Linked DNA regions of Tamandua tetradactyla. The protein of the gene in region 1 binds, or shares a complex with, the protein of each later gene. Links are inferred from orthologs where the notes say so. Each region holds a gene or a part of one and is shown on either strand. Other genes may lie near its edges. The genes, in order: UPF2 and UPF1.

Evidence for each region.
Region 2: the proteins of UPF2 (region 1) and UPF1 are in contact, whole or in part, in a crystal structure (PDB 2WJV), measured with the Homo sapiens proteins. The link is inferred for Tamandua tetradactyla from reciprocal best matches to the Homo sapiens genes UPF2 and UPF1. Residues at the interface, in NP_056357.1 of Homo sapiens: Val1105, Cys1107, Glu1109, Asp1110, Phe1113, Ile1114, Ala1116, Leu1117, Met1120, Met1121, Asn1124, Leu1125, Arg1128, Met1169, Pro1170, Phe1171, Val1172, Met1173, Leu1174, Thr1175, Gln1181, Lys1184, Leu1186, Asn1187, Val1188, Pro1189, Ser1192, Gln1193, Leu1194, Asn1197; in NP_001284478.1 of Homo sapiens: Asn150, Thr151, Ser152, Gly153, Val157, Asn158, Leu160, Val161, Arg162, Lys164, Lys166, Pro175, Leu176, Gly177, Thr179, Tyr184, Cys188, Asn190, Val191, Phe192, Leu193, Phe196, Pro198, Asp202, Ser203, Val204, Val205, Val206, Leu207, Cys209.

Annotation. Positions count from the first base shown.
Region 1 is NC_135333.1:50,915,451-50,931,048, reverse strand, and holds the start of UPF2 (regulator of nonsense transcripts 2), read right to left. Parts: upstream 6,273-15,598; 5' UTR 6,139-6,272; intron 5,793-6,138; exon of another isoform or gene 5,082-5,792; intron 2,944-5,081; exon of another isoform or gene 2,790-2,943; intron 1,394-2,789; 5' UTR 1,376-1,393; coding exon 1,014-1,375; intron 1-1,013. UniProt on the Homo sapiens protein: Involved in nonsense-mediated decay (NMD) of mRNAs containing premature stop codons by associating with the nuclear exon junction complex (EJC).
Region 2 is NC_135337.1:95,941,969-95,958,248, forward strand, and holds the start of UPF1 (regulator of nonsense transcripts 1), read right to left. Parts: upstream 8,065-16,280; 5' UTR 8,056-8,064; coding exon 7,838-8,055; intron 7,592-7,837; coding exon 7,519-7,591; intron 6,602-7,518; coding exon 6,459-6,601; intron 5,922-6,458; coding exon 5,832-5,921; intron 4,310-5,831; coding exon 4,142-4,309; intron 3,793-4,141; coding exon 3,612-3,792; intron 2,978-3,611; coding exon 2,816-2,977; intron 2,422-2,815; coding exon 2,304-2,421; intron 2,174-2,303; coding exon 2,075-2,173; intron 1,270-2,074; coding exon 1,161-1,269; intron 1,058-1,160; coding exon 898-1,057; intron 805-897; coding exon 686-804; intron 433-685; coding exon 268-432; intron 189-267; coding exon 74-188; intron 1-73. UniProt on the Homo sapiens protein: RNA-dependent helicase required for nonsense-mediated decay (NMD) of aberrant mRNAs containing premature stop codons and modulates the expression level of normal mRNAs.

The DNA.
Region 1 (15,598 bases):
TGAGATTAGGTGATGAATGGGGGGGGGGGGGGGGGGTGGCGCGCATTATACCATTCTCTGTTTCCGCATATGTGTGAAATTTTCCCAATGAAAGGTTAGTTTAAAAAAAAGCTCTTTTCTATGAGAGGGGAAAGGAAGCAAAAACTACTGTGAAACTGAATACTCCTGAGAAATAAAAACAAAAAATTAAAACATAAAATAAGAAACTCTCAGAAATCATGTTTCTGAATATTTCCAAACTAGCCCTACTGCCTTCCAGACATAAGGCATCAGTTCCTCACTAAAAATAAAGGTACTAAAGAAGAACTTTGTGTAAGGAAGTAGGTTCCAGAGAGCTCTGGAATTTGAAGTTTGCAAACAGCTTTTAAAATTATAGCTATGAAGAGAAAGAGTTCATGCTATTCAACAATAGTCATTTTTGCTCTATCCTGGTGTTCTTCCTATGAGGAGTACCTCATTTTTACTAGTTTATTAAATTATACTGCACAAATTTACAAAGTTGAAAGTACATTTAAACAAAGCTAAGAATGGAATACATGGAATTATGCTTAAGCACAAAGGTTTTAGAACCTAACCAACTCAGGCTCAAATTCTAACAGCTATATTATTTATTGTGACCTCATTACTTAACTGCTTTAAGCTTCATTTTATTAATCTGTAAAATGAAGATCATAAAATTTACTGCTTTAAGGATAAATGCTGATATTCTTAATACGATATCTGGCACATAATAAGAATTCAACTATTAAGAACTAAAGATTTTCAACTTAAAAAGATGGCTAATTATACCATGAAAAAGCTTCTTTTTTGTTTCAATAAAAACAATCCAGATTACCCCAGACCTCAAAACATAATAAAAGATTATTACAATTATTGAATTTAAATAAAAGCTCTAAAACTAACAAATACCCAGGAATATACCCAGGAAAATTTACTTCAAATAAACTTGTTTTCTCAAAAAATATTATAAATTTCCATTACTTCACATCAATAATTAAAATAAGTTTTCTTACTTCAACTGAGCAGCTTCTTCCTCTTGCTGTCGTTTTGCCTGCTCTTCTAGCTTCTTTCTCTCTTCCTCTTCATGCTTCTTTTTTTCTTCTTCCTCTTTTTTCTTTAATTCTTCCTCTGCCTTCACCTTTTCTTCTTCTTTTTTCTTGCGTTCTTTGTCTTCTTTTTTTCTTTTATCTTCTTCCAATTTCTTCTTTTTATCTTCAGGGACCTTAATAACCTCCTTCTTGGCAGTAAGCTTGATATCATCTTTTGGTTTCTCCCTGATGCTCACTGGCCGTCTTTCACCGCAGTCTTTTTCCTTGTTGTTTAGTAAAGATTCTTTTTCTTCCATACTTGCTGGCTTTTTACGCTCAGCTGGCATTATGTTACCCAGGACAATCTGTAAGAATAAAACGGTGTCAGAATTACAGATATAGTGACTTTTTTTTAGTGAGGGACATTATTTTTTAAATAGTATACATAAATCCATCCTGGCAATGGTGAGAGATTAAATAAATGCATGCAAAATGAATACTATTTCTGTGATAAAACAATATATTGGTCACATTCCATATTCTATCATTATTAGTTATGCTTATATTTAAGTGCATTTTTTACTTTTTAATTATGGAAACTCAAACACATTCAAAAGTAGAGCACACACAAAGAACCTCCATATACCATCACCCAGGTTCAACCATCACCAAACTCCAAAATAATCTATAATTTAATCATAAATACTTCAGTATATATCTGAGAACAGTCTAAACCAGTCTAAATCCCACTGGTTCACTATTTCATGTGATATTCAAAAGAAGTATTTAAGTTAGAGAAGGAGAGCAAAAACGAGCTCTTGCCTCCTACAAATCACTGGCCAAAATAGAGAACAGAGTACTCATAAATTTCACCTCATTGTTCTAATCTTATTATCAAACTTGCAAATGTACAAACTGTTAACTATCTCAGTTAAGACTAGATTTTTTAAATCTTATTAAAGATTAGACAAAAGTAATTTACCAAAAACAAATCATAATTATGGTTATCAAATGTATATATTCCACTCTGCACCTGCCAATACAGTAGAAACAACCTCAGCACTACTGAAGTTTTGGGCTAAATGTTCCCCAGGGGTCAAAATCACCAACTGAAAACCAGTGTACTAGCTACTTGTGGCTATTTAAACATAAATTAAATAAAATTAAATTTGAAATTCAGTTTTTCAGTCATGATCCGTATTTCAAATGCTCAACACCACATGCAGCGAGTGGCTACTATATCAGGTGGTGAAGTCATAGTACATCACCACCACGACAGCTGGTCCTACTGGATAGTACTGATCTGTACTATAGGCTTCATACAGTTAACTGGAACAGAAAACCGTATTTCCCTGCAAATTCAGGATTTTTCTTTTCCAAAAACACATTTCTCTAAACTCAGAACAAACTAGTTTGTTTTATATATATAATTTCTTTTATGGACAGTGCTCCCTGTTATAACTCCTAAATCATCAAAACATTGTATATAAGAAAATCCTATTTAAGAAGTATAGGATTACTGAAACTTTCTAGTTTTTTATTAAAAGCTAAAGATCTGCATGGTATTCCTAGATGATTTTAAATTACAAAACAAAAACTAGGTTAGCAAACAAAACATCTGCAACAATAAATATTTTATAAACACACAAATAAATTACTTCAGCTTCAGCACTCTTATAAAATGTTATTATCACAGAAAGACAACCTAGGCCAGTAGAAGCACTTTAAGTAATTTTTGGAGGCACATGCCACACTCTGTACCTTCTCACAGCCACCTCGTCCTTCCCCTTTTCCTCTTTAACTCTCTTATTCTCCTCCATTTCCATGGTCTATGCATTCATTTTGACAATGACACCCAAAGGCTTTAGTAAACCCCATTGGTGGAACTCAGAACAACAACAAAAAGGCTGTTATCCTGTTTAAAAAATCATTTTAAAAACATGAAAACATTTAACTATTTATTTATGTGCCAAGACAAGATTAACATTTATAATATATTATCTGGAAATGTAATAATCGATTCTTATACATCTTCAATTAAATACCCACCTTTCATATGAAAATATCTCATGCTCTAAAAGTAAGAAAACTTTCAAACAAATAAGATAACACTAAGAGCCACCACTCACTGCTACTAGTACTAAACATTTTACATACATTAACTTATTTAATACTAAAACCTTCATGAGATGGGTATTATCTTCCCCACTGTACAAATGCGTAAACTGAGACTTCACCAAGTAACCTGATCAAGGTCTCCTCAGCTAGTGACAGAGGTGGAATCTGAACCCACATTCTTAACAAAAGCTATCAAGAGCCCTGAGAGTAGCAAACTGTGAGTTGAAAGAATTGCTTATAGATCGTGACTAGGACAAACAATAGAATTATCTCAGAGTAGAAAGAGTCCCCTGATAATGGCTAAGCAGTTTTTACATTATGTTTGTAACTTTTGCCAAATTTGGCTGAAAAGGGGACAAGACAATACCGAACGAAAAATTTTATTTAGGGGTCTTAGACATTTGTGAAAAAAAATAAAATATATTCATGTTTATACAGAATTTGCATTTTCTGACATGAAGCATTGAATAACATTTCAGGTTATAAGGAACTATGATTTTCAGACAACAGATAGGATCAGAATTTACAATGAACATTTTATGAAGATAAAAAAAATCTTAACCAAATTTTTTTTAAAAACCATTAAGAAACTAGCTTAGAATCTGACAAATTCATATAGGCTCATCATTTATCAGCTCAATAGAGTCTGCTAAACTTTCGTGACTCTCTACAGTATTCCTTCATTCAACATGTTTTTATTTAAGCACCTATTACATAAAACGAACTGTATATAGATCCTGCTCTAGAGCACGATAAAACAAAGATTCTTAATAAGGAACGTAAGTTTTGATACTGGTATCTTCTTTGAATCCCTTCATCCTTATATCACAAACATACACCCAATGTATATTATGCGCTAAATTTCAGCGACCAAAAAATAAGAAAAATCTAAAAGTCATACAGAGGTAGCATACATATAAAAAGAACATGGCTCTGAAATCAGGCAGACTTTAGGTTTGCATCCCAACTCAGCTACCCTTTAACTATGGAAAACAGGCAACTTAAATTCTCCAGGTCTATTCCTTCAAGGATAAAACGGAGAAATTGCTCTGTCTTAAGACAGCTCTTGGCTTATATAAAAAACTGCGATCATAGTAGCTAGCATTAAGGGGGCACTCAAATGCTGATTCTGTTTCATACAACACACTGAGAAGTTAATCATAAGATGAGAGATGGGTAGATTTAAACGGACTATTCAATTTTATCTACTCCTATTCTGATTTTCTCATTGAGGTAGCAGCAGCAGAGTGACCTACCTAATATTACACAGCTGGCTTAGCAGCTGGGCCAAAATTCACTAACGAATACTCTTTTCCACTGTATACCCTGACTATATTTTAAAAACTAAATAAAATATACAAACAGCATGATCCAGATCAGCATGCATTTGTATTATGTCAATTTAAAAAATTAAACTGAGCATTAAATTATATTTATATAATGATAAAATTTCTTATTTTAATAAGTTTGTGCTTTAATAAACAGCCAAGAACTTTAAAGTATTTTTTTCAAGTTTATCAAGTAAAAAGTAGTTTTAAAGAGATTCTATCTCAAAATAATCAAGGTAAAAATTAGTGATCTTTTAACTGGAATATGATTAGCTCTTACAAAGTATTTTACTGAGTACAATCATATTCAAGGCAGCTCTGATAAGGAAACCTTATTTTTAAATCACACCTTCTTAACTCCCCAGTCTCCTGGTAGAGCACTTGGGCTGTAGATTTCATTCGGTTTTCTAAACATACTCTGAATTTCCAAGAGAAAGTAAAATACTACTAGTAAAATAGGTACCAATGGGGGTATGCTAGAGAGAGCACCAAAGGGAAGAAAGATCCTTCCCTGTTAAAGATCTTTGCAAGGTACCATATGGCTTACGTATGAAATCACAATTAGACTGCTCTGAAAGTAATTCAGAGTAAGAGAATGCTGTTTTACCTTTTAATTCCATGTTATTCAAACTGTTCTAAAGACAGAACTACACAAGGTATTATCTCCCAGTCCTTGACTTTCTTCTTTAAAGAACATCCTGAGAATAAAGGACTCTCAACGTTTTTACAAATTTCACCGGAGCTCAAAAAATTTTTTTGAGCAGTTCATTTATGAACCCCTAAAAACTATGATAAATGAGAGATGAAAGATAGTTTTACTTGAATTACTATGTATAAATTCTATAAGGGCAAGAGGGCTGAAGGTCCGGCCAGCCCAGCCTGTATCCCCACGCCTGTACGGAGGCTCTACTTTGCCAACTTGGAGACCAAATATCCTGTGATCATCTCCTTGGCTCAGCAGTACTAAGGAGAGTTCTCGGAGGCTTGGGATAGAGGCGAAGTGGAGCAGCAACCAGTCTATGTGATTAAAGTAAACCCCAAAACCCGTGTCTACCCTCCCAAATTCACCAGAGCCCCTTCTACACACACACCTCCCACAAAGCCCTGCTCTTGCTCCACATTCCTAAACCTCACACGCTTCCCCGCCACAACTCCCTTTCCTACGGGTACCCACGGTCACCTTCGCGGGCCACCCTCGCCCCAACCCTAACTTCTCACCCCACACTCCCTCACCACCCAAGACTGTCGGGCTGGTCTCCCTACTCAATATCCTCCCACACACGCACTCTTCCCACTTCGTCGCCCTCGCTTCCCTCCCAGCGCCCAAAGACCTTCCCCCAACCTCCCCTCCTCTACTCCACGCCCCCAAACACCTTCACCCCAACACGGCGAGCTCCCAGCCTCGGGTCGGGAGGCCCGGCCAGGACATGCAGGACAGGACCTCCTCTGCCGCCCCCCATGCCCGCCCCAGTAAGAGACGGGGACCCCCCGGAGAGCGGCTGAGGACGACGCGGGAGCCACGGTCTCTTGACTTCTCCCGCCCCCGGAGAGCTGGGATAAGAGCTGCCGCTCGGGTCCCCCGGGAGTGAGGGTCCAGGCCTCTGCCCCCGGCCCGCTCCCGCCCGATCGTTGGAGCGAAGACGGAGGGGTTCCCCGGGACTCACCTCGAGCCTGTTGTCAACATCAGCCCCGGGTTTCCCAGCACCAACTCCAGCGCTCGGGCTCCCCTCCCCTCCCCCCACCAGCTCGCAGCCGAGGACCCGCCTTCCCTCTGCACCCCTCCTCCCTCCGCACGCCGGCCTTCCGCCCGCCACTCACCAGCGCGGCCTGGCTGCGAGTGGGGGCAGGGCGGGGGAGCGGGGAGGAAGAGGCTGTCCGCGCCATTGCCGTTACGCAGGCCGGCCGGGCCGCCCGCTGCCCAGACATGCCGGTGCCGTGGAGCTACCTTTGAATGGAAGTTCCAGAGTCACAGCTCAGGCTGTTGTCAACTACTTAGCGGATGAGTCGAAACGCCTACTCGACGTTACGAGCGAATTTTTTCATAAGGCAATGGATAGGGCAGCTACTACCAGTGCCTCAATCCAGGACCCCGGTAGGGGGGCGGAGCGCTCCGAGGACCGAAGGCAGGAAGTGGATTGGTCGCCAGGAAAGGGAAAGCGCCTGATCTGGAGATGCGCAGGCGCAGACACCTGGGTGAGGGGGCGGAGCGGAGGGGCGGGGAACAGTAGAAGAATTACGGAGCGCCTTTGAGGACAAGGTGATCACGTGACTCTCCTGGGAGTTTCCCGGTGCGAACGTGAGGAAGAGGTCTAAGAAAGGAAAGTTTGATTGGACTAATTCAAGAGTAGAGGTTGAAGACTTAGGAAGTTGGAAGCTGGAGAGGATAAAGAATGTGGCTCGTGAGGAGAGCAGAAATTGGTTAAGAATGGGTCAAGCTTTAGGAGTCGCCTAGTAATTACGAAATTCCTGTGGGGAGAGTTCCAGAAGCGGTTTTAGGTGTTCGATTTGAAAAGATCTCAAAGCGGAGAACCAAGGATTTTCCCATATGGTTCATAGAAAATGCCCGGTTCCAGCAAGGAAGTAAAAAAATTACAATGGAATGAACTCTCTTAGTTGTTGGATGAAATCTCCCTTTAAAAAAAAAAAGAAAAAAACAAGGAAATTGGCAAGTTTCGTGACTTGTTCGAATGCGAACCCAAGTCAGTTTTTTATAATAGTTATCCACAGAGCATCTGAAATTGGGCATTTTAACCTCCGATTTATACCGAAAAAGTGGCAGAAAGGCTGTACCAACGTGATCTGAGTGATCTTACCGGGTGTTCATACCGGTTGGCTTTGGCTGGTGAGGATCAAGAGAAACAAAGGTGCAGAACTAACCTAAAACTCTTGGTTTACGTGCGACACCCCACCCGACATCCAAGCCTGTAATAGAAGCTGCTCCCAGCCTCAAACCCTTGAGGCACGTCTAGTTTCCCTTTTATTCAGTCTTTACCCATTTGCCTCTACTGTTTTCTTTCCATTTATAGTTATCATGTAAATTACCCTCCCAAATTGAGTGTTGAAGATTCCTGTACTTAATTTTTTTAATACCGTCAATAGATGAGTAATTTAAAAGGTAGTAAAGAAGGAGACAGACAGTAATACAGCTGTTCTGAACCACTGATACACAGTTATGAGAGGACTCTTCCAAAACACCATCTTTGGAACAGTAACCCACACTTCTCTTCAAAGTTACCTTTTTGTCCTTATGTCTGAGTACTTTATGAAGTCTAAATCCTCCTCATCCCATCCTCAATCACACTGACTGCCAGCATTCATGTCATTGAAAGGAAATCATGGGAGTACAGAAATCAAAGAGAGAAGAGGAGGGCATTTTTACTGAGCATTTGCTATTTTATGTTTGTTAATTTAATTAAAAATCACAATCCTGTACGTAGGAATTATGTTCCCCATTTTATAGATAAGGACATTGAGTCACAAAAAGATGAAGTAATTTACACAAAATTGTAAAACTAGTAGGTATAATATCTAGTATTCTACTCAAGTCTGTCTAACTCCAAACCCAAGCTGTCTTTACTATATCCCACTTCCGTTATGCAAGCTTATACATGGACTGAAAATGCTGCCAATTACTTTATTTCTAAAGAAAGATGCTAGCCACCAAAAGCCTCCTATGGGGATATCACTGGTTATGAGTCATAACCGGAAGAAGCACACTACTGTGAAGAAGCCAGCTTTGCAATCTGATAATAATTCAAACTTCACTATTTTCTGAAAATACATTGAATTAAGCATTTAAGTGTTTGTAGATATTTCATTATTCGAGAACATTCTCCAAAAAGTCTATTCTTTTCCCTTGTGCCTGCTCCAATTGGCAGAAACTGACAGAACTGAGAAAATTTAAAACACTCTATTTACTTACATAGACTTACATTCTACTACTTTCTACTGCAAGTCTAACCAAAGAGTTGTTGCATCACAGAAGACAACAAAAACAGGAGGCAGAGATTACAATTACTGGGCAGGGCAAACCCTGAGTTAAAAAAAAAAAATAGAAGCACTGGGTTAGTCACACCTGCTGTAATCATAGCTTGCATCCACTGACATCAAAAGAATATAATATGATGTAGAGCTGTACTGAGCATTTGCTTGAAAAAATCAGCTCTTTGTTTAGTTTAATTTGAGCTACTTTATGCTTCTTGTTCCTATAAGTGCTTACCTCTTCATGTTATCTCTCCAGCAAAAAATTTTCCATGCGCTCTCTCTCTCTCAATCTCTCTCATCCTCTCGCCTCCCTCCCTCCTCCCACTTTCTCCTTAACAGTTTGTAAAATAACCTCTTGAGACATGTCCATTAAAAAAGAAATGTGAATTTCTAAATAAGAAGTCACTTATTACTGAACCATATTGAAATTTGTCACAAAACTGAAAGATTGGAAACCACTTTACTGGGAAAAGAGAAATGAGTCAAAAAGTTTCAGTGGCTGAGAGATTTCAAGCAGAGTTGAGAGGTTATCTTTGAGGTTATTCTTATGCATTATATGGATATCCTTTTTTAGTTTATGGTGTATTGGAGTGGATAGAAGGAAGTACCTGAAACTATTGAGCTGTGTTCCAGTAGCCTTGATTCTTGAAGATGATTGTATAAAGATGTAATGTTTTCAGTGTGACTGATTGTGAAAACCTTGTGTCTGATGCTCCTTTTATCCAGGGTATGGACAGATGAATAAACAAATATATGGATAAAAGAATAAATGAATAATATGAGGGGCAAAAGGTAAAATAAATTGGGTGGATGGAAATGCTAATGGTCAGTTGGGGGCTAAGGTGTATGATATGAGTTTTCTTTTTATTTCTTTTTCTGGAATAATGCAAGTGTTCTTAAAATAATCGTGGTGATGAATACACAACTCTGTGATGATATTGTGAGCCATTGATAGTACACCATGTCTGGAATGTATGTGTGAAGATTTCCCAATTAAAAAAAAAATATATATATATAAAGAAAACCACTTTACTATGCTAGTGCCTATTAATTTGACCAAAATAGAAGTGAAACAATGTGTTTAAAAGCTTTGAAACAAAGGTTTGTTGAAAAAATAGAAAAAGATCATAAGATTTACAAAGTTGCTTAGAAAAGTGCATGGTAAATAATGAAAAGCCATTCAATGAGATTGTGACCTAATGAGAGAGATAGACAGTAAAAAGAACAAAAAAGGGAAACGGTAGGATAAATGCTAGAAAGGAAATAAACAAGTAGTGTAATGGAGAGGAGAGGGGAAGGTGGAAACTTTAGAGTGTCAGGAAAAATGCAAAATTAATGATGCAAAATTTGAGCCTAAAACCTGAAGAATTAGAAGGACCTCATTGGATGTGACAGATGAGCAGTTGGAATTTAGAATTGTGGGCTAGAGATAAAAATTTTATAGGCATCAACATAGATGATATTTAAAGCCCTAAAAATGAATGAGATCAAAGAAAATGTAGAAAGAGGAAAGCATCCAGGATTATGATGTGTGAACCTACACTCAGGTGTTCAGAAAGAAAGAAAATGGTAAATGTGGTAAAATAGGTGGATCTATATTTTGGGGGGTGCCTGTAGGGTGTGTTGGCATTCTCTGTATGGGATTTGTGTTATTTTTGTAACTCCTATAAATTTGTTCTATTTCAAAATAAAACATTTAAGAAAGGAAAGAAAGGGGTTAAAAGGTGTTCTAGTCTGTTAGCTGCCAGAATGCAACACAACAGAGAGGGATTGACTTTCAGTAAAAGGAAATTTATTTAGTTAATGTGTAATTCTTCAGTGGAAAGGCAGCTAACTTTCATCTGAGGTTCTTTCTTACGTGGGAAGGCACAGGGCGATATCTGCTGGCCTTCTCTCCAGGCCTCTGGGTTCCAACAACTTTCCCCGGGGTGATTCCTTTCTGTATCTCCAAAGGCCTGGGCTGAGCTGTGAGTGCTGAGATGAGGTATGCTGAGCTGCTTGGGCTGTGCTATGTTGAGCGCTCTCATTTAAGCACCAGTCAATTAAATCAAACATCATTCATAGCAACAGGCACACCTCCTAGCCGACTGCAGATACAGCAACAGATGAGGTTCACATGCCATTGGCTCATGTCCGCAGCAGTAGAACTAGGCACCTTCACCTGGCCAAGTTGACACCTGAATCTAACTACCACAGAAGGGGAAAGAAGAATTTTCTCAGGTACTGTAACCAATAATGACAGAGATTTTTAAATATAATTATCAATTCTAATTTATAATTCTCTTCAGTTTGTCCAGCAGAACAACCAGTCTCAGTATACTTTGTGAAACTAGTGGATAAGTGATGAGAAAGTTAACCCTATGTGATTTAATTAGTCTGAATTCTTGAATTTCTGACTAATATTTGTAGTCTCTGTCACGGGACATTTGTGATAAAATATTCCACATATGCTTCAAGCCTAAAATGTTCACAACTAAAGTTAAGATTGTTCCTCTACCCCATCTACTATTAAAGAATATAATATTCTTCACATTAATGGTGCCACAATCCTCATTCACTATTCCTTATTTAAGTGCAAGCAACCAGATCTTCAAAAAACTCTTTAAAAGATCCTGACTTTATCTTCCTCCACAACTCTATCACCTCCAAATGCACCATCTGAAGCCCACCTTATTATTCCAATTCTTCTCCCTAATTGCTTCTAACCTTGCGCCTACTTCCAATAGAGTGTTGTTTCAGAAAGACACCTCATCATTCTACTCCCCTGCAAGAAAAAACCTTCAATGGCAAAGGTGCTCTCCAACTTCAATCATGCAGAATAAATATATTTATTTAGATATAAAATAAAATATCTGTACAACTACACAAATACATTACACACATCATAATACACACTCCCAAATTGAAAGGATAAGATAAGAATAGATCTAAACAGAACTTCTACTATTTTTGCCTAAATACATCATCTTGGCACACCCCTGAATGTGCCAACCCATCTGGAAGTCACTCACTTACAGTCCTTAGCAGGAGCCCTTTATAATATGACTCTTGCCATAATATCTAACCTCACCTCCTACTACTTCCTCATGTGTCTAAATTCTAGTCAAAACAAATAATCTGGATGTACTGAACTTCCTCTCACCTCGTTGTATGACATAGTTCTGCTAGAATGCCTTCCCTCCCATGAGACTTCCAGACTAGTTAGCTCAAGCATTATTTCCATGGGAAGCCATTCTTTATCACCATCAACTCATATATAGGGATTTAGGTCCCTACCCCCAGCCTCTGAACACCTCTATTATAACATTAATCATCTGATAGTGAAATAATTCATTTTGTATCTGTTGATTAAGCTGATTGACTGAGCTCAATTGACTCAGCTCCTTGAGACTATTCCTTGGCAAGAATATTGATGGACAATAACATTGCTCTAGATTCCTTGTTGGCTAGTAATGGTGGCATCTGTGTCTTTGCTAATACTTCTTGTTGTACTTGGATTAATGAAACATGCAAAGTGGAACAGGCTATACACCACCTTAAGGAAAAAGCTATTTGGCTCTCTAAGGTTGATCATCAGGGTTCATGGGCTTTGTTCTTGTTGGGGCCCCTGATTCCAAAGCATCTTACGGGGACTACAAATTGTTCTTGTTTTTGTCATAGTGATCATGATCCTGGTCCTTTGCATTCTATCTAGAGTATTAAATGCTTCTACAGAGCTGCTTTTTCGTCACATGATTATCATGATGATACAACAACCAAAGGTCAAGATCTTGCTGTGCTGTTAACTATGAAGGCAACTGAACAACCTCTGAGCCATGAAGATCTGGATCTCCTGCTTTCCCTGAATTAATCAGCCTCTTGCAAGGGAGAAAATGACCAAAAGAGATTAAGAAACTGTGTATACAAATGGACAATGGCCAGGAAACTCTGTTAGCAGTAACCAGACCAGAAGAGACTGGCACATTACCTGCAAAAAAGTAGTCCAGGAAGCCAACCACTGTCTACAACAAACATCCCAGGAAGTCAAGCCACAATCCCTATAACAATTGACCCAAAATAGCCAGGACTTGATTGATAACTGACAGTTTCCCCAGTTTTTGCCCCTATTTCCAACTTAGGACCAACCGAAAAAAAGCAAAATATGCTCCCTTGACCAATCACATAGGATGTCCCACTTCCAGCTCCCCTTTGCAGCAGCAGCCTCCAATCAGAGCACACCTGGAGTCTTCCCTTCTTTGCACTATAAAGTTTTCCCACACCCTTGCCTGCTTTGAGTCTCTGCCAAACACTGCTGATAGGAACTGACTCCTTTGCTATGACATGCTCTGAAGAAATAACCTTAGTTCTTATATGGGTGTTCTCATCTATTTCCACAATTCCATGTCCCTTCATTTGATCTCCATTATAGCTAATTCAAGTTTTTAATACTGAGAGTAATAAACAGAAACTGATACATTAATGTGTGTCAGACATCAGTTCACCCAATGATTCTATTTGGTAGAAACTATTTTTCCCTGTTTTTACAGATGGGGAAACTAGGACTTAGTGTAGTTAAAACAACATGCTCAGGATCACACAACTACTAAAAAAGATTTCATCTCAGGACTGTCAGATTTCCAAAAGTTTATCCTTCTACATAATAATTCCTCTCATTATAGGACATCTTCCCCACCTTATACAGCTGAGTACCACACACATGATAATATAGATAGCCCTTTTTACCTAAAGTATAGAATAAAAAAGACACGATTTTATAATATAGTTTAACAAGACAAGAATGTCTGTCTGAGTCAGCCCAGTGTAGGGCTAAATCTTTACCCATGTTACTACAAAAGAAAGAAAACTGAAATAGGAATCCAAGACCTGGGTACAAATCTTAAATTCCTGCCACTCAGAACCACCCTGTGAAACTAAGCCAAGTTGATTTTAACCTCTCTGTGACTCAAATGCCTCATTTTTAAGATGAGAACATTAGATTTAATGATTCCTAACTATAAGGTTTTAATTTAATTTTGACAACACATATCACCACAGCTTCCAGGTGTCTGAGAATCCAAATCAAAGTAGCTATCTTCATAATCGAAGGTGATGCTGTCACATTGAGAAACATAGCTGGAAACAATTTATTACCAAGAGTCTTCTTGTTAGCACTGGCCTTACCTGGCCGGCAGTCCTGGTCCTTGACTCGCTGAGACAAAGAACTGAAACTTGAGTGGAGGTTGAGAGCAAGGTGATTTGTTAAAAGCAGGGAGTAAAGAGAGGAAGAAAGATGTCCTAAAGAAGGATGGGCTCAAGTTGGTGAAGAACCAGAGTGGCCCCGATTACAGTTTAATTCAGGGTTTTATGGGGCCAGCTAATGGTAGTATTGCACACACGTTACTAGGGGGTTTTCTTGGGGTTTTTCCTTTGTACCTTTGTTTCTTGCTTTAACAAGGTGTTCTGACCACACTTTCCTCAATGTAGCCATTTAACCATCTATTAAAGGCTGAATGTTCTGACTGCAGTTTGCTCAAGTTAACCAACCATTAAAGGTGGTTCTAGCCTCCTGTGGGTAGCCTTGGGGTGGTTCCCTTTTTCCCATGAGGTGGGCTCATGACTTTCTAACTACCTAACATTCTGGAATCATTTCACTTCCTGTGCCAGTTGCTAAGAATCAGGTAAAGAAATTGGTGTTTTCTTATTTTTTTTCTTATTTTTCTTCTGGATGGCGCTGTACTACAAACATATTTATAGACAATAATGTATATCCTATACATCCCCAAGGTTTCCCCATGGAAGCTGTAGAAATAGTCATTTCATTGTGTTTTACCCTTTTTTTCCTATTTAATAAAAGACTCATCTTAAAAGGGTCACATCGCGTTAATCTGTTCACACTCAACATTCAGTATCAGGCTTATAACAATACCTAACATCTTTTGGGGGCTACCATGTGCCACATTGTGTACAGCCTGTTATTTATTATGTAACAAGTATTGTTCTGAATTTTTTTAAGTAATTAATTATTTAACTCATGCATTTGCACTGAACCCTATGTTGTAGGTAATATTATCAATCCTATTTTACTGATGAGAAAAATGAGGTGTAGAGAAGCTCAGTAACCTGCCCAGGATCCTACCTAGTAAGTGACAAAAACCAAAAATAGGAGGCATATACTCTAGATTAAAAGTTACTTACACAACCCTAGTCTAATTTTCTCTAAGATCAGCATAATTATTTCCATTTTACAGATGGAAATCCAGAAGTGATCCAAGGGTACATAACTAAGAACTGGCAAAGCTAGGATTTGAACCTTGATGTCTCTCTCTGAAACCTTGAAATTCTCTAGCTACTTCTTCTCCATCTCCTTTGCTGGCAATTCCTTCTCATCCCAACATTTAGACTTTTGAGTTCCTCAGGATTACAAATCCAAACTGAGGAGCTTAATAACATCTATACGTTGATAAATATTGAATTTATTTTTCTGGCCCCTACATTTCATCTGAATATCAGACCAGTGTATCCAATTGCCTGATGGACAAATCGACTTAGATCTCACACACATAGCTCAAGCGTCCAGACATGAACAGATATCTCTACTTTCCAATGTGTTCCCCTTCCACTGTTCCCCATCTCCATCGATGGTATCACCATCTATTCAGTTGCTCTGGAAGCAAAGCAAGGGAGGGGATGGAGGGGGAGAGGTCATGCATCCTGAATACATTTCCAAAGAAGCCAAATTCACAATAATTTTTAAAGACAACAGGTTAACATGATAGTTCTTATGACCATGATGAAATACTGTAAGAGGAAAAGCAAGACCATGGGACAAGTAGAGAAGACAGTCAAGAAAGTGGTACTTTAAAGAATACTCCCACCTTCGGTAACCAAAGCGAGAGGATAGGGAGCTTGTTAAAATTTGGTTTTGCCTTTGATTTGTTCATACATGACACTTCTTTTTACTTACCTAATTCCTACTACATTTTTAAGGTTTCAGTTCATTTAGTCTCCCAGACTAGGTAAAATGCCCCCAGTCATGTGGTTTCATAGCATCCTGTACTTGTCCTTTATGGTACTTTTGCAATTATAAGTATTTACTTAGCTTCTATCTGCCCCCTTGGAACTTAAGCTTTAAAATGTAGAGAGACTTCTCCATTGCTATAT
Region 2 (16,280 bases), on another chromosome or scaffold:
GATCCTTTTGCCAAAATGAAAGAAAGAACTGGACTCCCAGGATGCAGGGCCTTCCGGCTGCCAGGGGACTCACCATGAGCAGTTCCCGCTCTGCCGTGCGCTTCAGGGCCCGGTACCGCTTCTCGTCGGCTGATGACAGCTCTCCCGTCTCGTCTTTGAGCTGCTGTAGCTTCTGCAGCTCAGGCATGCTAGAAGAAGACCCCCGGGCGCGGTGAGGACCCTGTCAAGGCCATGTCACGGCCACGCCCCGGCCGGCTGCCCGCTTACCTGTCCATGTTGCGGATCTGGTTGTGCAGCGCCAGGAAGGACACGGGTGAGTCGATGGCCTCCCGGCTCTTGGCGCACAGCCGCACCACCTTGAGCCCCGTCTGGTGGATCTTCTCCGTCAGCTGGTCCACGGCGATGTTGCTTGGTGCGCAGACCAGCACAGGCCTGGAACACAGCACAAGCCCCAGTCGGCAATCCCATGAAGCCAGGGCAGCTAAACCCAGTCCAGCATCGCCCATCAGCCCTCCACCCCAGCGGCAGTGTGGGGGCTGCCACAGCGCCTCCGTCCTCTCAGCCCCACCACACAATGCTTCCCAAGAGCAGGACGCCAGAGGCGACAGGACAGGCCTGGGAGGATGCAGCCTTTGCGGCCGAGTCACGGCACCCTCATGAGCTCCCTCCCCAGCGCCCGGCCTACCCGCTGCCCTGCCGGGCCAGGTGGTACACGATGGTGGCCGACGTGACTGTCTTGCCCGTGCCGGGTGGTCCCTGGATCAGGCTCAGCGGCCTCTGCAGCACTGTCTTCACGGCGTAGACCTGCAGAGGCGAGCACCATCAGCGTCACAGTGAGACGTCAGTGGATGGGGAGACCCCGGCCCAGACTGCGCCACCCCCGGGCCAGGTGAGGACCTGCGAGTGGTTGAGGTCAGGAAGCCCCTGCGCTGTGAAGCGCTTGGGCAGCTGGCACTTGATGATCACGTCTTCCACCTCGTGGCCGAGCAGCTTGTGGTAGATGTAGCCAGACACGGAGGTCTCATCCACTGCGAAGGTCTTCAGCGCGCTCTGCATCCTGGGGGAGTACGCGGCTCAGGCACAAGCGGCAGCAGCCTCTGCCCATGTCTCGTGGGGGTGGGCGCAGACGGTGGCGGTCCACCCTGGGTGGGTGGACCTACCTGTCAAACGAGGTCGACTTCCACACGAAGTCCACCTGAAAGTTGTGTGTCACCTCCACGGGTGCGCCCACGCTGCTGCGCAGCTCGATGGCGATCTCGTCGCCATAGTCTGCGTAGCTGAGTCAAGGGGGCATCCTCGGCAAGGGCCAGCCCCCTCCATGGGGAGCCAGCGGGAGGCGCTGCAGTGGAGCGGGGGATTCCGTCTGCCTCGGTACCCCAGCAAGGTCCAGGGCATGTGCACACGAGCCCCTCACCACCATGTCCAGTAGCCACTGTCCCACCACTGACCACCTCGTCCCTCAGCAGATCCCTGCTGCCCTCCACCTGCTCACCCCCAGGGGCCCAGAGTCTTGTGAACAGAGACCCCCCCCCCCACCCCATGAGCAGCCACCAGGGCTCAACTCCCAAGGAATCAGCTCCAGCCACAATAGCAGAGACCACACCCGGAAAGGGGCCCAGAGGCTTTCAACAAACAGGGAGGGCCTGAGGGAGGCCCCAGCCCACGAGAGAAGCCCCCCTCAGACTCAGCTCATGGGCATCTAAGGTCCTGACAACCCACACTGGCTGCATGGCCTCGAGAACTCATCGAGAAGTGGGGTGACTGCACCTTACACTGGAGGGTCACAGGGCCCTCTGATCACATAGCCAGCATGGGCCCCTGTCCCTGCCCACCACAAGCAGGGCCTGTGAGCCACGCACCCACAGGGGCAGCCTTGGCAGGTGTGAGCAGGTGCAGCAAGCCCACCCCTTCTCTGACCAGCAGGCCAGGGCCCCGTGGTCGGCCATCCTGGCCCAGCCCCCATATGCCGTGTCCAGTAATGGCCATGAGGGCCCCCCACAGAGGCCCAGGTGCTTGACTCTCCCCACAGCCCAGAGGGCTGTGCCCATGCCCCCTAGCCCCGCGTGAAGGATACTGTCAGGGACCTTGATGACGTGGCCTATGCCCTTCCAGAGGGGCGCCAGGTCCCCCTTGTAACGCAGGCAGATTTCGTCACCCTGCATGAGCCGCATGTCTGGGGAGAGACAGCGAGAGGGTCAGCGCGCCAGGAGCCCTTGCCACCTCAAGGAGGGTGAGGCGCGAGGCGCTGGGCGGGCCACGGAGGCTAGGCTACTAGTCACAAGTATGTTAAAACTTAGAATCACCTCTTAACCAAATTATGACTAAGTCCTCATTACCAGAGTCAGTCTTGGGCAAGGTGAAGTAGGCGATTCTCTTCTTGTTGAGCCCCAGGTCCCACCTGACCGTGATGTTGTCCTGAGTCTGAGAACAGGAGAGAGACGGGCGTCAGGTGCAGACAGAGACCCTGGCTGCAGGGCCGGCGCGGGAGAGGCATGTGGAGCTAGGGCAGGGAGGGGAGCTGGCTGCAGAGGGCAGGGCCAGGCTCTCGCCACTTTCAGGGGCACATCTGCAACCTGGCCCTCGGGCTACTGCAGTCAGCTCCTGGGACTGCCGGCCAGCACCAGGGGTTCTTGCCAGGGGGGCTTTGTTGCATTTTAACCAGTAAACGGCCTGATGTTTCTCCCTGAGGCTCGCCAGTGAACTGGGCATGTCCACACAGGGTCCAGCTGAGAAGGCAGTACGGCGCCTCTGCGAAGGGGAAGCCTCCCTGGCTGAGGGTGCTTGGTGCCCGCGCAGCCCACTCCACGGGCCCCACCTGGGACTCCTTGAGCTTCTTGTCATAATCTGCCTCCAGCTTGACGAGAGGCCCAAAGATGTTCTGGTACTGGTAGGCGTCCTCGTAGCGCAGCAGCACGTGCTGGGGCTCCTCATCCACCCCTGGTTTCTCCAGGTCCTCCAGGGTTGCAGAGGGGTTCTCCTGGAAGACAGGACCCCACACGCTCTCCTTCCCCACTGGATGGTGAGTAAGCCAGTGCCCAGCAGCCACGAAGACAGTGTGCACTCAAACCAGACGAAAGGACCCCATGGCTTCCAGGAAGGAGCCGACCCAGGGCTTAGAAAAGGGGGGTAAAGCAGCATCCCCCCCCCGCCTGCTCCTCAAGGGAACAATGAAATAAGCTTGGCAGCCTGGAAGTGAACGGGAAAGGGACCCTGCTACACAACACTCCCACTTGTACTCAAGATGAAAATACATTCGCATCGGCTACTTCTTATCATGCCAGTGCCTAATTAAAATTCCTAGTCTGGTCATTAAAACTTTTGGCAAAAGGCTCAGCAGTGAGCCTTAGGGCTGGGGGGCGGCTCCTGAGTGGGGTGGGAGGAGGCGGGCCCCCAGGGATGCTCCGATGGGCACCCAGCGCCTCGCCCTGCGTGGAACAAAGCCCTTGCAACCCAGGTGGGGCCCCACCGGGCCACTCCACAGGTTGCTGTCCCCTGAAGCGCGTGGAGCAAGCCGGCCGATCGTCCCCTTGGGGATGCGAGAGGAGCAGTCCTGAGGGGGGTACCCCACATGCAGCTGCCCGGTCCTCCCCTGCCCCACCCACGGGCCGCACCTTCCAGAGCTCCTCCAGCTTGTTGATCTGCTGTGCCGTGATCTGCCGGGCACGCAGCTGCTCCTGCTCCGAGGGGATCTTCACCAGCCAGGACAGGAAGCAGCGGTCCTGGATGAGGGGCTGCCACTGGGAGCTGTCCCAGTTGATGTCCTTCAGGCTGCTCTGGCTGGCACAGGGCTGCCTGCGGATGCAGGACACACTCACCACCCCGCCGGCCCCAACTACCCAGGACTCCTGCGTCACCTGGTCACGTGCTTCCCACGCTGTCGGAGGCACTCACTGCCCACTCAGTGGTGAGAAGCAGAGCTCACGTCCCTGCACACTTGCACTCTGAACCCTCAAAATGCACAATGCGCTTTATACTGACAGAACTGCTTCCACCACTTAACCGGACGCACCCCGGGGAGCTGACTGCATTCCCTACTCCGGCAAGCCCAGGCCCCGGACACCCCTTCCCGGGCACGGCCGAGCCCCCGTGCCCCAGCCCCCTGCTGTCAGGACCAAGCCCCCGACCGGGTCAGGGCCCCCACCTGCACAGCAGCACCACCACCGAGTCGGCCTTGGCCGGGATGAAGCCTAGCAGGAAGACATTGCGGCAGCCGCAGTTGTAGCACTCTAGCACCGTCTCCCCCAGCGGCCCGTCCTTGTGCAGGGTCACCTCTTTGCATTTTGCCCTCACGAGGTGATTTACAATGTGGCTGAAACCAGGAAACAACCCAGAGTTAACACCAAACCCTGGCCTCTCACTGCTTCCAGCGCTCTGGCGCGTTCCGGTGCGGGCGGTCACGGCCCATTAGCAGAGGCGGTCACACCTCCTCCACCTGGCGCCCCAGAGACCGGCGGCTCCCCCAACGCCCCCAGCACGCACAAGCCCCATCCTGGCTTGAACGTGGTCCAGCAGCTCCTGCTTTCCTAAGGCCTCCGAGGAGGATGCCACAAGAGGCCTCTCGCCCTATGCCCTGAAGGCCTCACGGCCGCTCCTCTCCACACAGCACCCGTGCCTGCTTCCAGGTGCAGCAGCCCCTGCAGGTGGGCGGAGGCCCCACCTCCCGGAGGTCACCAACCCTCTTGGGGCTGGAGGAACTGGTGGGTAGGGCGGGAGGCCCCCAGGAGGGCAGCCTCTGCTGTGCCCCCAATTCCACAACCCAATTCTGTAAACCACAGCCCCCTGGGCCCCCCAACTCCAGCCCGCCCTCAGGGACCCAGGAGCTCGTCTGAGGCACTGTGGCTGACAGCACAGTTGCCACTGGCACCCCAGGTCCCAGCTCTGGACACAGCCACCCCAGGCCTCTGCCCGCTGGGGGGGGGCTCCCCTCCCCACAGCCCTGGACCTTCCACCACAATCACCTGTTTTCTCCTGGCCTGCTTTTCCTTGCCCACCTCACCCCCTAAGTCCCCTGAGAGCTAACAGCTTGCACAAAACATGAGTGTTTGTTGACTCCAGCTTGTTTTTCTGAGAGGCCCTTTGCTTGATTCCTTGTTCTTGGCTGAGCTGACCGGAAACGGAGGTGGCCGGCTATGTGCACTTTTGTTTAATTGCTTTTCCTGCTGGAAAGGAATGAGCACACAGAGCTGCAGTGCCCCAGCCCATCCTGAAAACGGGATGCACGTGTGCTCCAGGCTGCCCGGAAAGTGCCTGTCCTCTCTACCAGCCCAGCGCATGGTACCAGCAGATGTCGGCACTCTCCTCCCAAGCCGGGCAGAGAGGCTGCCCACGTGGCCAGTAGAGGTGAGCTGGTGGTATGACCTACCACTCTGCCACTTTAAGTCTCCAGAGATGGGAGTCTTGGGGCAGCGCTGGGCATTCCGGTCAGCCTGGGTGGGAAGGCCCAGCCAGGCAGCAGCTGTGCCCCCAGAAGCTGTGCAATAGCCAAGTGGTCCGTCTCACCCGAAGTCCTGCGGCCGATGCTGATCGACAGCAAGAAGAGGTGCAAGGGCCACACGCTGGGGCTCCGCCGCGTGGGCTCTGCCCACAGCCTCCCCGGGCCACCTCCCCGGGCCCCGAGGTCCCTCTGGCCGGGGCGGGCCAGCAGTTCACCTCACGCAAGAACATAGTGAAAATCTGGGCCAAGAATGAAGCCAACCCCACGCGCATGTGAGAAGAGTCACAGAGGACAGACCAGGCAGGAGGCGAAGGTGTTCCCAGGCCACCACGTGGCTCCCGCGGCACCTCTTGCCCACTGCCCGCACTCCCCGCAGGCCACCTGCCCGGGCCTCTACCTGCCGGAGGTGTTCCCGCGGCCGTTGCAGAACCACTTCTTGCTGGCGTTGCAGTAGACCACGCAGGCGGGGTCGTGGATCCCGCAGTAGCTGGAAAGCAAGACACCACCGTTCAGCCTGGAAGGCTGCGCTCCCAAGTGCGTGAGGCAGTATGTGAGACTCTTTCATGGCGTTTTTAAGTCTTGCGTTAAACACATACTCAAACCCAACAGTGCTAATAACAGATCCTCATAAAACAGAAGACAAGGCAGAAGCGAGGTGTGCTGGGAGCCACCAGGAGACCCCGGGCTGCGCAGGCCACTACCCCGGGCTTGCAGTCTCGGAGGCACATCCTCCCCATGGGAGCAACACGTGCAGGGCCGAGGGGACTGTGTTCCAGGACGGGCGCGGACCCCGCGTGGGGACCTCTCCAGCCACCCAGAGGGCCACCACACACACACAGCAAGCGGCCTGCCAGGACAGGGGCATCTGTGCACTCATCAATTAACGTGAGCAAAGCGCAACTCCAGGAAAAGGAAAAGCCCTCCCTGAGCAGCGCGCTGCCACCTCTCTCGACCTCGGTTTCCTCCCATGTGTGCCGGAAACAAGGACAGCCCGGGCGGGCCTCCTCAAAGACCCGGGGCTCACCTGCACGCGTGCACGGGGAGGTCCTTCGTGTAGTACGTGTCTTCTTCGTCCTCCTCAAAGTTCAGCTCGGCCAGCAGCTGGCTGGTCTTGGCCACGCCATCGTCCACGGCCCCATTCTGCAGCACGCCCTCGGGCCCGCCGACCTGCATAGAGCGGCACGTCACCTGTGAAGCCCCGGCCGACCCACAGGGGCGCCTCTCACCTCCTCGACCCCCCCACCTAGGCCTTGTCCTTGCCGGCCGCAGAGCCATGGCCATGTCCAGGTGCAGCAGGGGACACTTTGCCACGCCTAGGGGAGAGTCTCACCAGTTGCACAGGGACAGCGACGCCCCATCACGCAGGCGTCACCCTCAGCGAGTCCCTCTTGGACCCTCTCCAGGCATCACTTCCCGCACTCCCTCCATGGGCCCCTCCCACCCAACCCCTCACGGGGCCCAGCCAGACAAGGGGGCAGGCAAGAGCCCCTCAGGCCTGGGACCCCTGCCGAGGCACTGCTTCCCCCTAGTGCCCTCAGAGGGATACCCCCACCGGCCCAAACCACTGTCAGCTCGGCCTTGGACGCACAGGCCACCTGCCGAGACCCAGCACCCACCCGGCCCCACCCCGCATCCTGGGCCTTGGCCTCGACTGCAGTTCTAGTAATGGAGTGACCCGGCGAACGGCAAGGAACCAGGCCACGCGGCGGCGTGTGAACTTCGCATTGCTGTCCCTCGATTCCCAAACCCTTCCCCACGACCCCCAGGTCCTCCAGATGCCTGCTCCAGTCCTTCCCTCCATACTGGGGTGGGGTGAGCCCCTGCGCCCACGGTTCCGCCTGTGCCAGCCCAGGAGGGAAAGGCCCCAGGCGTGCACCCCTCCACTGCTCTCAGTGCTTCCTTCCCTGAGTTGCCACCAGTGAAGGGCAGAGAGAAGCCTGCACCCAGTGCCTGGCCAGCCCCGGACCCTGCGGGCTCATCAGCAAGGCACAGAGACAAGGGTCCGTGCCACCCTCTCCCACCTACCCAGCCTCCCTGCCCCACTCCTGCCTCTGTCCCGCTCGCTCTCTCCCCCACGCTCTCACCCTCTGCCCACCACTTCTGGGCACAATGCAAAACTGACAGCTGTAGCCAGGTTGTTCGCTTCCCCTCCAATCACTGAAAGAGTCGAGACACATAGTATTGCAACAAGATGTGACCTTGGAAGGGATAATGAAATGTGTTAAAACCCAGCCCTGAGCCAGGACGCCAGGGCCCCGGGTCCCTGTGGGCAGCACCCCGCTCTGGCCCGGACTCCCGGACCCTGCACTGCCTGCACCTGGGGTCCCGAGTCCGCCAAGGCCGTGGGTCTCTGTCCCCACCTCCGCTCAACCCGCAGTACAAGGGCATGTCCCTACTCAGCACCTTTCAGGCGGCCATGAGGTGGGGTGCCTGGCACCCTGCTTGGGGACTGGAATCGCATGCTGTGAGCGCAGACGCTGCAGATGGGGGTCTGTGAAGCCAGCCTGGTGCTCACATGTGGAGCCGGCCCGACTAGCGCCTGCCGCGGCCTGGCCTCTGTGGCCTTCAAGTCTCGCTCCACGGCCCTCCCCGGCAACTCCCCAACCTGAAGACATCCCCATCCCTTGGCCTTGCAGTCACCATCCCTTCCCCAGGGCCCCGCTCGAGGGTTCCCCTCCCTGCCACGACCCGGGCACTGAGGGCAGGCCGGCACCAGGGAGCCCCAGGGCCACAGCCCAGACACCGAGAGGGAGGGACCATCCTTAGGCCTCGATGCCAAGGTTTTCTTAGAGAGGAACGGGCAGCCCCTTTCTGTGGGGGTGCTGCAGGGGGCCTCACCAGGGAACGCACCCCCCCACGGCCCTGCGCCCATGCACCGCAGATGACGCCCCAGCCTCCTCCGGAGAAAGCCCAGCCGTGTGTGACTGTGCGACGCTGGTGGAGGCCACCAGCCAAGGTGCCATGGCAGGGGCTGCTCTCCACACAGTCCCGCTCCCCGGTGTCCCGGCCTGGGTCTGCTCAGACCTTGGGGCCCACAGGCTGCCGGCCAGTGAGCCATACTTGGCGCGGGCCCTCTCCATCATCCTTGCTGGGACCGGCTGCTGCCTTGGCGCCAGGGACCCGACCCCAGAAGGGGTTGCCACTGCCCAGGCGCCGCTGCCCAGCAAACAGAGAGGCTGGGCCATGGGAAAGGGGTGCCCATGTCCACCCGCCGCAGCAGGGCGACGCACGAGACGCCCTTCTTCTCTCCAGGCGCTCGTAGTCAACCCAAGGCCAAAGCTTGCGGCCTGCTGTGGGTCCAAGGATCCTGGGCGGGTGCAGGTGGAAGAAGACAGGAGAGGGGACAGGATAGCAGGCTGGGCTTCGGGCTGGCTCTGGGGGTCACGTGCTGGGGGCAGGTTCCACCCCCAGGCCGGGGCACTGCATGCACCAGGAGCTCCCCGTCATGGGCTGTGGAAAAGGGGCACCCACACGGCCCAGGGGTAAAACAGGTGTCAATTTCTGTGCCCACGCAGGCAGTCCAGGCCCCAAAACCCAGCTCAGGCCCTGCTGCTCTCATCTACACAGAGAAGCCCGTGCCGGCCACAGGCCCCCAGGACCCAGCACCCCGCTCATCAGGGGGGAACGGGCTCTACTCTCAAAACCACCTGGAAGTGAACCACTAAGGGACAGGCCGACCCTGGGGTTCCCCTACCCTACTCTTTCCTGCCTGCCTGGACTGTCCACACTGCCATGACAGTCAGACATCCTCTGCTCCCCAAAAGCCTGCAGAGGGGGTCCCGCCGGCCCCTCATTCCCAATGGCTGCTGCCCCCGCCCAGCCTGAGCCCAGGGATAAGGCCGTTGATACGAGCTCCTCTTCCAGCCCCGGTCCCCTTCACAGGGGCCTCTCGGATGCCATCACTGCAGGTCTGTGGCCCCCCTTGGCCCCAGGACACAGGGCCAGAGACAGCAGCAGGGCCTGACCTGGGTCTCAGAGCCTGGGCTGGAACCCTGCTCCCGCATGTGACCCCCAGGGCCAGCACTGTACCTGCAGATGCAGTCCTGGACCGGCCAGGCCCTGGCAGTACCCTGAAGGCCCATCCTCGCCTAGAACCGCCCTATAAACAAAGCGTCCCTGCAGAGAGCCATTCCATCCTTTGGGCCCCCTGCTTGCTGCCCCCACCCTCTCAGCACACCCCAGCAGGTGAGGCAGTTCATGCCATTCTCTGGTAAAGCAGCTGCCCTGGCAGCACCCTCCAGGCCCGCAGGGCTGGGGAGAGGGAGTTGCAGAGAAGGGGGCCGAGGCTGGACAGGAGCCATAGCCCTTGCCCATTTCTGGAGTGACAGGCCACCACCGAGCAGGGGTCCAGCGGGGTCACAGGGCCAACTCTGCTGGCTGCACCACACATCGGGTGTGAGGTGGACTGAGCCCGAGTTTCCACATCACTTGGTTGACCAAGTGAGAGAGAAAAGATGAGCAGGAGCAGAAACAGAGGGGAGAAAGGAAAGAACAGAAAGCATGAGCAAAACCCCAGTGCGGCCCTGTCAGCTGCTAAGACTTGCTGAATTATACACTTCGAATCAAGAAATGGTATGTAGTCACACCTCCAGAAAACTGCTAGAGACGGGGGACACAACTCTGACCGAGTGAGCGCCCCAAAGACAGGAGGGCAGGACAATTACCCAGATCAGGACCAACTCAGAAAAATAACAACTAAGACACCTAGAGAGCCAGAGTCTGCCCCAGATAGGGGTTGTGGGCGGAGGGGCTCCAGGACCTGAGCCCCCCGTGGTGGTGGTCAGAGGCAGGAGCCCCACTTGGGAGAGTAGCTATGCATAGAGGCTCCTCAACCACCGCTGTCCCCTGGGGGCTGGGGGTTCAGGACAAGCAGGTGCCCAGAAAAGAGTCTTCCCGCTTCTGCCCGGACCCAGGCCCACGCTTTCACACTAGACGCGCAAGGGCCTGACGAGTGCCAGGCTCACTCTGTAAACAAGAACTCTGAGCCGGCACGGGCCCAGCCGGGTCCCCCATTTGCCCTCCCATCCCAGCAGCTCTCACCCCACCTTCAAGGTTTTACATGAAAATCACCTGGGCACAAACTGGACACAGTCAAGATTGACTTCAAAAGTGGCTGTACGTTGGAAAAGTCTGGAAGTTCCTCAAACACTTGCAGGGTTACTGTGTGATCCAGCAATTCTACTTCTACGAATACACCGAGAAGTGAACACGGGCACGCACGCGGAGAAGGGCACAACTGTTCACAGCAACACCACATGCCCAGCAACCGATGGACATGATGGATGATCCCTTAGCCATAAAAAAGGGTCGAGTCTGGACCCACCTACAACACGAGTGGACCCTGAAAGCACAATGGGGCTGAAAGCAGCCAGATGCCGACGGCCACACGGTATATGATTCCACACACAGGAAAACAAGAGTCTCCTCCTGACTCCAAAGGGTACCAAAGCGGACAGGGGCAGCCGGGGGCTGGGACAGAGTTTCTCTGGGATGATAAAAATGCTCTGGAACTAGACAGAGTGGCTGATGCTGTGAATGCCCGGAACACCACTGAGTCATTCACTTTAACTCTTGTTTTCACATGGGCAGCACCGGGAAACGAACCCAACTCTACCGCACCGCAAGCGAGAACCCTGCCTGCTGAGCCACCGTGGCCCTATCCACTTTAAATGGGTGAACTGCATGGCATGCGACGCAGACCTCAGTAAATTCGCCAAAACCCAGGAACTGAGCAGGCCCACTCATCTAAGAAGCAGAGTGGGAGGCATTTTGAGTCTTTCTGGAAGCCTCCACCAAACAACTGGTTCTGAGCACAAACAAGGAAAATCTCCCCAAACATTTTCAGCAACCAATGCCACCAACTGGCCTGAGACAGTCAACTTTCTCTCACATCCCAAATACGATCCCAGCTTCTCCTGTCCCAAATCAGGACCTCCTTCACAACACAAACGGGCCACATCCCTCCCCCAGACACAAAGGGAAAGTTAGACACCAGGAAGGTGGGGACACCCTGGGAGGAAAATACAAAGCCTAAGGTGATCCTCGTTAACTAAATGCAGCGAGGAACAAAACCTCTAGATGTCAACAGATCTGAGACCTTCGCTGCAGGTGGCCTCCCAGGGGGCATCTGAACGCCCCGATTTTGTACAGGCCTTCAGGTGCACAAACACCTTGATTACCTTGACTGAAAGAGAAGGACACGCCCAGCAATTAATCACAAACAGAACTGCAAGGAGCACACCTAGAGCTGGATGCTTCCCAGCTTCGCCGCACCGCGGCCCCGGAGCACACCCACAGAAAAAGGACGCCCTGGCCCGTCCCGAGCTATCTCACTGACTCTCCCGGGCCGAGAGTTCTCACGGGCTCGAAGTGACAAATGGAACTGCTGTCCCCACTTTACAGCCGTCAACACTGGGACTGGCGAGGGCTCTGGGGTATGAAAACGAACCTGAGACGTCCCCAGCACCCAGGTCCACCCCTATCCTTCCAGGCACACGCCCCGCGGCACCCCTGTCCCCCCGAGCCTGGATGGAAACAAAAGGGAGCACACCTGTCCCTGTGAAGCCCCGCCCCTGAGGCCTTCCATTTTAAGGAATCAGGGGTTAAAAGCAACAAGCGTGTTCCGCTTCCTTTCAGGGCTCAAAGAAAACCCAAGTGGGTGGTCTACCCACGAGTGTGACTCACCGGCCTGAACATGAACCGGCCCCCGGGGCTGGGACGCCACCGCCCTCCCCCCCGCCAAGCATGGAGGGCCCTCCCAGGACCAGGTGGGCCTGGGGCTCCCCGGGGTCGGCGGCCCTCTCCCAGCCCCGCTGCCGCCCACCGGGCAGTGAGTCCTGCTCCCCTCGCAACCAGGTCCCAACTTTGGAACACCCAGTCGGCTGTGCTCACGGTCCACGCGGAGCGAGTCGGCGCATGGGAATAAAGGCCACCACCAGCGGCCCCAGCGAGAACCAAACTCGGACCCAACTTTCCCCAGCAAGGAGCGGTTACGTAACAGGTCGGTTTCAGCAACAGGCAGCACTGCGGGCAAACAACCCGACCAGGCGCGCTCTCACCGCGGCCAGCGTGGCCGCCCCAGCGAGCCCAGGGCGCGCTCGCAGCCCCCGGGCCAGGAAAGGGGTGACTCGGTGGGTGTCCGTGAGGGTACCGCGGCCAGGGCTACAGGTGGGGGGTGGGGCCAGGCAGGGATCCCACCCAGGCGGGGCCCAAGGCAAGTCGCCCCGACACCCACTGGACAGGGCCTGAAGGCAGGGGAGGGCACCCCAGGGGGACCACCCCGACCGGACCAGCGCAGACCACGACGCAGGCCACCCACGTTCCGGCCAGGCTGCCCCGGGAACAGGAGGCCCAGAGGCCAGTTGCCCCGGGTCCGGTCGGGGGCTGCCCCAGGGGCAGGGCCCCCAATTCGGTCCCTCCGGGGGCCGGTCGCCCCAACCCGGCCAGGGAGCCCCCGGGACACGTCGCCGAGCCGGCCGGGGGCCGGGGCCGCTTCCGGCCGCCGCCATGTGCCTCACCTGCGCGTCGAGCTGTCCGGCCGCCGCGCCCGCTCCGCCCGCGCCGCCAGGGCCACCGGGACCGCCGGGGGGCGTCTGCGTCTGGCTGGGGAGGGTGAAGTCGGTGAACTCGAACTCGGAGCCCTGCGTGTCGGCGCCGAGCAGCTCGGCCTCCTCCGTGTCCAGAAAGGTGAGCGTCTGCGAGCTGGGTCCGTACGCCTCCACGCTCATGGCGCCGCCGCGCCCCACCGGGCCGCCTCCTGCCGCACTCGAGTCCGCCGCCGCGCCGAGGCCTAGGCCGCAGGCCGCGCTCCGCCGCCGCCGCCGCCGCGCGCCCCGCGCCGCCCCGAACCGTCCGCCGCCCGCGAGCCCGGCCGAGAGCGCACGCGCACCGACCCCGCGAGCCCCGCGCCGCCCGCGCCCCCCGAGCCGCCCGCGCCCCCCGAGCCGCCGAGCTCGCAGCTGCCCCGGCCGGGAACTGCCGCCGCCGCCGCCGCCGTGCGCGTGCGTGAGATCGACGCCGCCGCCGTGTGCGTGCGCAAGGCCGCCGCTGCCGTGCGCGTGCGCGAGATAGACGCAGGCGCGCGGCAACGCGCCGACGCCTCCAACCGCGCCCGGGCGCGGAGCGCCGAGCGGGAAGACGGGAAGCGCAGTGCGCACGCGCGCGGGAACCGGGCTTTCAACCGCTTTCGCGGCGGCCGCCGGCGGGCGTGGTCACGCCCCCAACCACGGCGGGGTCTCGCCCCGCGGGCGGGGCCTCAGGGAGGCGGGGGTGCGGGCGGGGCGCGGGCCGGGCAACGTCCGTGGGGTTTGGGCGCCCGGCCAGGGAGTCCCCGCGGGGATGGCGCACCCCCGTCCTTCCTGGGACATGCTCCCTGCGCCTCCGTTTCCCCACGTGTGAAACCGGGAACGTACGCCCCAGGCCTCAGTTTACCCGCGTATGAAACAGGAAACATGTTCCCCAAGCCTTTCTGTGAAACCGGGGTAGCCTCGGTTTCCCCATCTGTGAACTGGGGAATATGTTCCCTACCCCTCAGTTTCCCCACCTTCGAAATGGGGATGACCTCAGTTTCCTCTGTGAAATGCAAGTAGCCTCAGTTTCCCCATCTGTGAAATGGGGAACATGTTCCCCAGGCCTCAGTTTCGCCACCTGTGAAGCAGGGGTGGCCTTGGTTTCCCTGTCTGTGAAATGCGGGTGGCCTCAGAGTCCCCATCTGTGAAATGGGGAACATGCTCCCGGTGCCTCAGTTTTACCTCCTGCAAAGCAGGGGTGACCTCAGTTTCTCCGCCTGTGGACCGGGGCTGAGGACGGCCCCATGTACTGCAGGGTGGGGGTACCCACGTCATGGAGTGTGAGGGTGGAGGACACGGGCTCAGGCCCCTAAAGTGTGGCCACTGCTGCCCCCCACACATCGCCCCCAACCGGCCTGTGTGACCTGCATGCGTGGCTCACCCTCTCTGAGCCCGGGGCCCAGAGGGGAATAATGACCATGAGGGCGCAGCGAGGGTTAAACCAGCAACTCTTCCTGCCAGAAGAGTTCTAGGGGGCAGGGTCGACCTGACTGGGAGGAATGCCGGTGCCCCAAAATGCCCAGGAGGTTTCAGAATCTTGAATCCTGGGTCAGCTCAGGGGTACGGGACTGAATTTTCAGCTTCCTCGCCTGTCCGGTGACCCCAAGCCGGCCACTTGCCTTTCTGCCAGAGCCTGGGAGCATGGGCAGGCAGCTGGCGGGGGCCGGCCTCCCGCAGCGCCTCCGCTTCCCAGTTTCCCGCTTAGGGCAGCAGGAGCCACTGGAATTGGGGCCTCTCTCCCCCACCGACTCGCCTCTGTTTCGGAGCCCTCGCAGGGACGGGGTTAGCGAGTGCCATCCCCCTGGACAGGAAGACGTAGTTTAGGAGGGAAATGACAACAAACCACCAGGTAGCCCCAATAAACTGCAAAGGGCCCATGTAAGCACCCGGTCCCCTCAGCAGGGGCACAGAACAGGGGCCCTGGCAACCCCCCACCCCAGCGGTTTGTCTGAACATTTACAAAATTCATTGAGTCGAATTTCACTTTTGAAAGTGAAACTGAAAGCAGCTCTACCAACGGCCGATGAACACAAGGCCAAGCAGCCAGCGCCACCAGCCGTCGGGGCCACGCGGATCCGCTGCGCACCGCCGCACGGGCGCCAGCTGCAAGTGACAAAAGCAAGAGGGTAGGGACAGTGGCCAGCACTGGCTGCTGGGCCGCGGGGCGCTGCTGGGATTGGCAAATGCCACAGGCCCCATGGCAAGCACCTGGGCTGTTTCCAGAAAGTTAACAACAGAGTGAAACGCCTGCCGCTCGGGGCTTGGAGGCAGCCCAGATGTCTGCTGCGGGTGAGTGCATAAGCAAAGCGTGCCCTGGCTAGAGGGCGGAATATTGTTTCGTCATAAAAAGAAATAACGAGGGAGGCCGCACGCTACGATGTGGAAAAACCTTGAACACATTACACCAAGTGAAGGAAACCAGACGCATAGCATGCTGCATGATGCGTTTATGTAAGATGTCCAGAACAGACAAATCTGCAGGGACAGAGGCAGCTCTGGGAGTGCCCGAGCCTGGGGGGACGGCCCACGGACAGGGGGAACCTTTTGGGGATGATGGAGCCAGGTTAGTGGTGATGGTTGCATGACGTTGGGAATAAACCAAAAACAAAACAAAACAAAAAAAAGACTTGAATTGTACACTTTGACATGGGAAACGTCACAGAGTGTACATTTTACCTCCATAAAAAAATTGCAAAAGCCTTCGGCGTTGTGGGAGTTGGCACCATGTCCTCGGATTCCAGGCCACGCTTCCTCCTGTCACTGGCCCCTTGCATGTGACTGGCCTCGGCCGCTTGCTTCCGATAGGCAGCACGTGGAGGAAGGGTGCATGTGTGACGTGGAGACCTAACAGCTTCCCCTACGTGCTGCAGAGTCACCCACTCAGGGGGACATCTGCTGCCGCGTCGGGGGCCCCGAGCAACCCCGTGCCAAGGACCCCGGGGAGGAGCCTTGTCGGAAATGGATCCTCCGGCCTCAAGTGAACTCCAGGCAGTTCCAGCACTATCCAAAACCCTGAGCCTCTCGCCAGACCCACCCAACCAAGCCTTCCAGGGTTCCTGACCCAAAGAAGCCACGAGATAATAGACACCTCCAGCCACTGTAGGCTACCATGTGTGGGGACTGTTTGTTACTCAGCACGGCTAGCTGATACGTACCCACACCGCAAACAACCAAAACGTCTGTTGCTGCTGGCGGACACTTGTCCCCTCCCAGACCCAGTCATCAAACTGCAGGGCAGGTAACCTGGTGGCCTAGGAGAATTCCTGGCTGGGGAGCCC